Sus scrofa: one gene and its partner. The protein of the gene in region 2 purifies or fractionates together with the protein of the main gene of each other region. This does not show direct contact. Links are inferred from orthologs where the notes say so. Each region holds a gene or a part of one and is shown on either strand. Other genes may lie near its edges.

Region 1 (4,186 bases), on a different chromosome or scaffold from region 2:
ATAATCATTTTGCATTAATAGGGCACCCTAGATTTAAGGAAGCACTGAGAATGCCAACTTTGCCAGTTACAAAAGGACAAATATTGTATGATTCCATTCATATGAGGTACTTAGAGTAGTCAAATTCATAAAAACAGAAAAGAGAATGATAGTTGCAGGGGTAGGGGGAAACTATGAAAGTAGTTAGTTTCAGCTGGGGAAGGTGAAAAAGTTCTAGACATGGATGGTGGTGATGGTGCACAACAATGTGAATATATTTAATGCCACAGAACTGTACATTTAACAATGGTTAAAATTGTAAATTTTATCTTATATAACCTCTCTAACGCTGTTTCTTCTTCTGCAAAATGGGCTTAATAATAGTACCTAATTCATATACTTGCTGAGGACTACATGAGATACTTACAGAAAGTCCTTAGTCCAGTGACTGCTACATGCAAATTACTTAATAAATGTTAGCAATTATTCCTACTATTACAATGTACTTTCATAGCCATTTCTCATAGTCCCCACACAACCCTGTGACAGTTAAGAGATAAAGAAACTGAGGATCGGAGAGCCAAATGAATGGCTGAGTTCATGCTGCCACATCAAATCAAATCCTTTGCCCATAAGAGATGTCCTGTCCTCACCACTTGTTTAATTTGGTGGTAAGACAACTGCCCTAACCATATTACGTCTTAATTCTCAATTAGATCTGTAAAAAGGAGATATAAAACCAACCTCCGCAAGTTCCCTCACAGAACTGGATGAGAAATGAAATTAGATAATGGTTACAAAAAAGCACTACAAACCATAAATAACGTACTATACAATAAAAGTGGTAACTTATGAGAACTAATAATATACCTGTGCATAAAACCTGGCCTTTTAATGCTGGGAGTAAACAACTTCCCTGTGATTTCAATTTACTCAGCATTCCTGGTCTTAAGGCCTTCCTTCCTTTCAAAAGGTGGCAGGGGTTCCGCTGGTGGCACAGTGGGTTAAGGATTTGGCATTTGTCACTGCAGCAGCTCAGGTCGCTGCTGTGGCGTGGGTCAGATCCCTGGCCCAGGAACTTCCCACATGCCACAGGCGCAGCCAAAGGAAAAAAAAAAAAAAAGACCAGATAAGACCCCTTCCAGACCTATATACAACTCTTAAATCCAGAATCTTGGAAATAGGAGAACACAGCCAATCTCCGCACTCCAAAGAACTAATGCTAACATCAGGAGACTCCTCAAGACCTGGCCTAGGAACTCCCTTGCCTAATCTTTAAACACCAGAGATGAAATACATTGGAAATCTAGAACACCTGCCAAAGTCAACTTTAGTTCACTTTGACCCTTCTGGGCCTTGCCTGAAAATAGGAGAAATAAATCCCTATTTGAAGGCAGGGAGCTGAAACGGTTGACTAGAGCCACTTTCTGCTCCCTCTCCCCTACACTATTAGATTTTATAGTGTTAAATCTAAACACTATAGAGGACAAGCAAGGTTTGGTGGGGAGGAACATGCCACAAACAAAATAAAGGACGCAGCTCACTGCTTTAAACGGCTTAGGCCTTCCTTGAACCAAACCCCCAGGGAACTTCGGCGCTTGAGATCTGGAGTCGTTAGCATCCATCAAGTTCTAACGGGCAATATTAGCAAGAAATTCATAGCAACTTCCTTTCCCTCTTACCTCCCAAAGATCAAGAATGGCATTTCATCCATAGTGGACACTGGTCTCTCAACTAATGGTGTGACCCAAAGATTAAGTCAAAATCCCTTCTGTAACTGAGAGATTTCACAAGCTCGCACTAAGAAATAAATAACAGGTACTAGCACCACGGCTTTACACTTCTGTGCCTACTAACTGTAAATTGGAACACATTATTTAACCTTTCTGCGCGTGGATTTCTGCTTGTGTAAATGGGGATAACCCCAGAAGGCCATTGTGAGCATTCAATGAAATAAGACTTAGGAAGTTCCCGAGTCAAGTCCATTAAATGTTACCTGTTGGTAGTAAACACTTCCCTCAAATATCTGTTCTCTCCCTGAATCCACAATCACCCTGCGAAGCGACTTTCTTTCTCCTTTTGCACTGAGAAGCGAACTGAGGCCAAAAGGCTGCGTGCGTGAGGTGCGGAACACGGCCCCGGTCTTGGGCCTGCTGTTGTTCCTCCACAAGCCCTGGGTGTGCAACGAGCCCAGGACCGAGGAGGCGCTCAGGCCCGTGGGGAGCGAGGCGGGACCAGTTTTGCGCGCCTCCGGGAGCCCGCAAACCTTGCCCGAGAGGGAGAACCGGAAGAAGCTCGCGGCCGGAGCCAGAGCCCGGCCCGCCCAAGGCCTCCCCAGCGCGGCCTCCGCTCCCCCCTCCTCCCCTCGCCGGGCGGGGCGGGGCGCGAGCACAAAAGACTCCAACTTCCAAGCGGGCGCCGGCCCACCCCGCCAACTCCTGGCCCAGGCCCGGCCCGCGGGGAGATGGCGGGGAGGGAACGCCAGGGCAGCCGGGAGCGGGCGCGGGCGGGCCGGCGACCCGGGGCGGCGAGCCCGGGTGGAGGGAAGGTGCGGGGGGAGGGGGCCGGGAGTTACTCGGGCTCCCGGGACTCCCCGAATGGCCGAGAAAAGAGTTTCTAAAAATAGGCGACGGCCCGCGCCAGGAGGTAGGTGACCAAAAAGGAATAAGGAGCACCCCCTCCCCGCACCTTTAAGAAGACGCCCGCGGCCCCCACTCACCCGCGCACGGAGGTCTGGAGGAAGCCGCGCGGCGCTGAAGGAGGCGGTACCGCCGCACTCGGGGGCGGGAAGGAAGGAGGGAGAAGGCGGCCCCGGCCGCGGCGTGAGGAGCTGAGCACAGGCACGCGAATCGCCGCTGCCGCTACCGCCCCCTCAGCTTCTCTCTGCTCAGCCCACCCCGCAGCCGCGCTGCTCGCGCGCCCCGCCGCACTGACAGCCGCGCGAGCCCCGCAGCCGCGAGTCCTTCCCTCGGCCAGCACCACTGAGGCGCGCGGGGGTAGGGGAGCACGGAGCGGGCTCCGCGCCGCCCGCCGCTCCGGCCGTGGCCCAGTCGCCCTCTTCCCCCGCCTCTGTCTCCAAAGGGCACGGCGACTCAAGCGCGAGGAGTCCGTAGCGTCGCCCTGACACAGCCCGGCCCCCCACGCGCAAGGGCTCGTCCCACCTCTCCAGTCTAGCTTTGGAAAGGTCCAGAGCTTCGGCGGGGAGAAAAGGAAGGCGGGGCCAGGGCGGGGCTTGATGGGGAGGAGGGACAGAGATGGGAGGTTGGGGAGGCGGAGCTAGGGCGGAGAGAGACTTGCTTAAACCAGTATGAAGCGGAAGGCGGGGCAGGGCGGAGAGGGTGATGATGCCAGAGAGCAGAGACGCGCGACACAGGTATGGAAGACAGTGGAGGCCTCGCAGAGTGGAGAACCCGGGCAGTGTGTGAGAGGAGGGGTGTGGGCGGGGCTAAATGGAGGTTTGCCCAAAGGAGACGTCAAGGGTGGAGGGAGGCCCGGCGAGTCTGGGGGAGGAGAGGCTCTTAGAGGAGGGGTCTGGAGGCGGGGTTGAAAGAAACCCAGTACCCGAGGAAAGATTGAAGCCGGGCAGAAGGAGGCGGGCCCGGAAGCCGAGCCGGGAGAAGGGGCCCAAAGGTGGCCACTCTGGGAAGGAGCCGGAAGGAGGCGGGACCGAAAGGGTGACCGGGGGTGTGTGTAGGGCTGGGACTGGAGGTGGGCGGGGCCTGAAGACGCGGCCCAAACAAGTTGGCGGTGGGCAGTGCTCGAGGGATGCGGAAGAGAAGTAGGAAGGAAGGCAAGGTCCTTTCACTTACAGGGAACCTGGTGTGTGCACTGGGCGAGGATCCACGCTGCCAGTTGGGTCTGGGAGAAGACACTGTCATGAGGACGTGTCTGGGGAGGACCTGAAAAAAGGTTAAATTCAAATAACTTTACCCTTTTGGAAATTTTTTGTAACTTGATGTGGGTCTGGATGTGTGTCCTCCCTCCTAAATATTTCTCCTGTGAGAACTCTCACCTAGATCCGTGTTCTAGCCTCCACTGTGAGGACAGTAAGACCTTCAGCCCTCAGCTATAGACTTGCATTGTCCGGCCTATTATTGTATTTTTCCCATCACATCCCCCAAAACCTGCCTAGGAGACGGGATTTCCCCAGCACTGGACACAGTTTGAAATTAATCCTGCCCAGACCAGCCATTATAGCTACACTTGT
Region 2 (4,195 bases):
AGCTTTCCTTCTCCAGGCAAGGCTGATGAGAGTGCAAGTTGCAAGTTAATTTGAATTTCATGTTTTGTCCTTTTTCTCATAAGGAGTGAACAAGCTTCAGAACACTTCAAAATGTCTGTATAACTAACAAAAGGAGTATTTTGCAGCCACACAGACCTGGATTCGAATTAGACCCCTTACATTTGGCTGTTCCATAATCATAGATTGCATTTGGCCTGAGTCTCATTTTTTTGGTGTATAAAAGATAGCCTTGCTATCTTTCTTCGTAAGATTGTGATGGAAAAGCAATTAATTGGGCTTTTTTTTTTTTGGCCGCGCCCACTGCATGCAGAAGTTCTGGGGCCAGGGAGTGAACCCTTGCCACAGCAGCCACCTGAGCCACAGTAGTGACAACGCCAGATCTTTAACCCACTGTGCCCTGAGAGAACTCTCTAATTGTGCATTCTGAAGCCACTTCAGCCCTATACAAATATCAATTATTGTTGGATCTGCACATTGATTCCTCCGTAGGGTTTCAGGAAAATACTCCCAGCCCTTTATCAGCAAAAGGCTGGGAGAACCCTGATATAATCTCAATCTCCGGATTGTTTGGGCTTTTCTGTCCAACAGCGAGTCAGAAGCCAAGCTTTGAGGTTGTAGGTGGGCCATAAATGCTTAATCAAAACAGGACCCAGGGGTCCGAGCTAAACTCCATGCTTGCTTTCACGTCAAACGTCACAATCCACAAGCCCTGGTAAGGACAACCCTGAAAGACGATGAGTGAAAACCAAGACGAAGAAAGGTAGTGTGTGTGGTCGGGGGAGGGACGTTAGAACCAAGAGAGGGAGGCTGGCGCGGGAGGGAGGATGCATCTGATGCAGTGGAAGGGCAGTGGAGCGGAGAAGCTCGCTATCCGGAGTGAAAGTGAGGCCCAGCGAAAGGGGCCAGCCTGAGGAATTTCGGTTCCCGCCCCACGACTCCCGGCTTTGACTACAGTTCCGCCCGCAGACGCCCTAGGCCCCTCGCCCCGCCCCCAGAGGGTAATCGGACTGTACCATTATGATCTTATAGGGGTGGAAGTGAATCTTTGGCTCGTCCTTCAGAGAAAATATAAATTATTTCTCAGAAAAAATAAGGCTATATATATTATTTGCATGGTTCTTAGTGAATAACAATTATGTTCTGCCGGCTAGGACCCTATATATTCCCTGAAGGGCGGCAGGAGTCCGGCCATGCTTCCCCTTTTCCTTTCCGCATTTGGTGCATTCCCCCAGGATACGTAGGCGGGGGAGGCGTACATAAACCTCGACGCAGGAGGCGGGGCTGCTCAGTCCTCGAGGCGTCGGTGCTCAGCGGTGTTGGAATTCTGTTGCTTGCCGGCCTGTGCGCGCGTGCGCGGACATGGCCTCAAACGGTATGTAAGTGCGCGAGGCGGCGGTGGCGCGCCAGCCCTGGAGCTCGTAAGCTCCCAGTTGGGCTTTTGTTTCTCGGTGGGGCCCGGGCAGCGATCGCATGTAGGATCTTCTCCGCACCACTGGCGGGAAGCAGCGGAGAGGGGTGGAAGGGGGAGGCCGATGTCGCCATTTTGTTTCGCTCCGCTGGCGCCTCGCGCAGGGCGGGAGGTCTTCCCTTTGCAGCCCCTTTCCTTTAGGTGAGGGTTGGGAGGAACTCTTCTTGGTGACTGGGGACGTGAGACGCGGATGGAAATGCTTGGTCCCCGTAGCCTTCTCTCCTCCGCGTCTCCAGCCCCGCGCTCGGGCCCGCTTTGTCGCAGTGCTGCATCCGGGCACTCGGTGCGCGCACGCGCTCTACTGGCCCCTCCCCCCTTTTCTGGCGGCGCGAACCCCCCTCCCGCCTCGTGTCGGCCCTGCTTTTTGTCGCGAGACCCTCCACCGGCAGCTCCGCGGCGCTCGTCCGGTGTGGGCCTCGCTCCCGGGGTCCCTCGGGAAGGGGCGGGACCTCCTCGTTCCCGCCTCGCGTGCCACGCGGCTGGGGGCGGAGGCTTTGGATCGGGACCGCGCGCCCGTTTAACGGCTAGGGGTGGGGGGCTAGGGGGTGGTCCAACGGACTTGGGGACCGGGTGAGGCTTTTCCCGCCTAAATTTTCCTCCTTGGGAGGTAGGAACTGAAAGGAACGGCCGCCTTAGGCCACACCCTCTCCCGATCCTTTTGCCGTTTCCTGCGGGGAAAGCTGTTTCCTGTATCGAGATGAGTTGATCAGGCTTGTGCTGTCTTCCTTGTGGCGTTTTCGTTACCTTGGATTCGCCAAGTCTCCCCGCAGCCCCGAGGCAGGCAGGGGAGATAGGAACTCGTTGGGAGCCGTAGGGCTGAGGACCTGAGTACCAGTCGGCTTGCCTCTCGAGGCGACCGCTCTTTGATGGCGATCTCTGTCGTTTGGGGTCAAAGAATTCTCCCTTCTTGGTGAGCTGGCTCTGCACTAAAAGCCCCCTGTTCCTGTCTCCAAGATTGGATGGAGGGTGGCCTCTCTCCAGATCTTGAGACTTTCTTTGGGTTGAGAAAGTGCAGGCTACAATCGGAACGTTTTTGCTTCTGGCTTGCAATAAAGCCTGTTCTGCTCAAGCAGCTGTGTGGCTTCAGTTGGACTCTTGGGGATACCTTCCTCATAGAGTGGGTGTGAAAACATGTGAGTCAGTTTGTGCAGTTCCGGATATCAGTTGAAGTTGCAGAAAAATGGTAGTTGTCCACCAGGACTCTTGCTTTTTCCAGTACTTAAGGCCTCTTGGTCTCGGTAGAAATTCGCTTTTTTGGTGTGTCTTTATTGTGAGAAAACTTGACTTTGGTCTGCCGTCTTGCCCCTCTCAACTAGGGTTTCAGGAGGGGATTTCTGCCTTGTCAATTTTCACATCTAGGGGCTCTGGGGCTTGAGTTGAGGCCTTTACCTCTAGTTTGTTCTCTTAGGGGTGGCTGAAGGTAATGTTAATATGATTGTATTTTTCTGTTTTGCAGACTATACCCAACAAGCAACCCAAAGGTGAGTGTCATTTCTGGGTTTCCAGAGTTTGTAGGGGGCAAGGGTGGCTAAGGTGTCTTTTCCTGAGAGCACCGTTGTTGCCTTTTCTTCTCCAGCTACGGGGCCTACCCCACCCAGCCTGGGCAGGGCTATTCCCAGCAGAGCAACCAGCCCTACGGACAGCAGAGTTACAGCGGTTACGGCCAGTCAGCGGACACTTCAGGCTATGGCCAGAGCAGCTATGGCAGTTCTTATGGACAGACCCAGAACAGTGAGTCTTTTTAAGTGGGTCACCCTTCCTCTTCCTGCTTTTTCTGAATGTTGCTTTTCTTAAACCTAAGCAGTGCTGAACTGTTGAAACTGTCCCCCAGTTTCTTTGCCCTTAACCAGTCTGTGATCCTTCAAGCTACTTAGAGTTTGAGTTCTTTCCAAGTACTTAATTCTGTTTCCTTTTATTTTCTTTGACTTTGCATTTTTTGATTTATGCTGCACTTCTCCCTGTTTCCCCTAAGAATGAAAGTGAAATTGGGGAAGAATATTCCCTAAAGGGAAAAGAGTTTTAAGTTTTTGATATTTAAAAGGAGAAAATGGGGAGTTCTCATCATGGTGCAGCGGAAACAAGTCGACTAGGAGCCATGAGGTTTCCGGTTTGATCCCTGGCCTTGCTCAGTGGGTTAAGGATCTGGCGTTGCTGTGAGCTGTTGTGTCGGTCACAGACGCAACTTGGGTGTGATCCTGTTGTGGCTTTGGTGTAGGCCAGCTGCTGCAGCTCCAATTCGACCCTTAGCCTGGGACTCTCCCTATGCTGTGGGTGTGACCCTAAAAAGCATAAAAAAAAATAAAAGGAGAAAATGATTTGCTTGAAGACGTTGGAAATCAGCATACTGTATATCACATTGATACACAAAGAGGTGGAATTTGCCCTTAGGTGCTGAAGGGTAAATAATCTGAGATGTACATCACAGGCTGGTTAAATGCTGTTAAAGGAGAGGGATCTCTTGGGCTGTGATTGGCGGTGGTTCAAGAGGCTGGCTTCAGGTGTAGGTAGCATTAGGGATGTATACAGTGTTTCATCAACCTATTCTCATTCCTCAATTCATGACTTTTTTTCTTTTTCTCGTAGCAGGCTATGGCGCACAGTCAGCTCCCCAGGGATATGGCTCAACTGGTGGCTATGGTAGTGGCCAGGGTTCTCAATCGTCTTACGGGCAGCAGTCTTCATACCCTGGCTATGGCCAGCAGCCAG

What was found.
Region 1: the proteins of FUS (region 2) and RALY purify together in Homo sapiens (affinity purification with mass spectrometry; 3 studies listed by BioGRID and IntAct, with this or other methods). This does not show direct contact. The link is inferred for Sus scrofa from reciprocal best matches to the Homo sapiens genes FUS and RALY.

The regions. Positions count from the first base shown.
Region 1 is NC_010459.5:37,446,841-37,451,026, reverse strand, and holds the start of RALY (RNA-binding protein Raly), read right to left. Parts: upstream 2,830-4,186; 5' UTR 2,699-2,829; intron 2,286-2,698; exon of another isoform or gene 1,976-2,285; intron 1-1,975. UniProt on the Homo sapiens protein: RNA-binding protein that acts as a transcriptional cofactor for cholesterol biosynthetic genes in the liver. Binds the lipid-responsive non-coding RNA LeXis and is required for LeXis-mediated effect on cholesterogenesis.
Region 2 is NC_010445.4:17,323,751-17,327,945, reverse strand, and holds the start of FUS (RNA-binding protein FUS), read left to right. Parts: upstream 1-1,380; coding exon 1,381-1,393; intron 1,394-2,945; coding exon 2,946-2,970; intron 2,971-3,065; coding exon 3,066-3,220; intron 3,221-4,072; coding exon 4,073-4,195. UniProt on the Homo sapiens protein: DNA/RNA-binding protein that plays a role in various cellular processes such as transcription regulation, RNA splicing, RNA transport, DNA repair and damage response. Binds to ssRNA containing the consensus sequence 5'-AGGUAA-3'.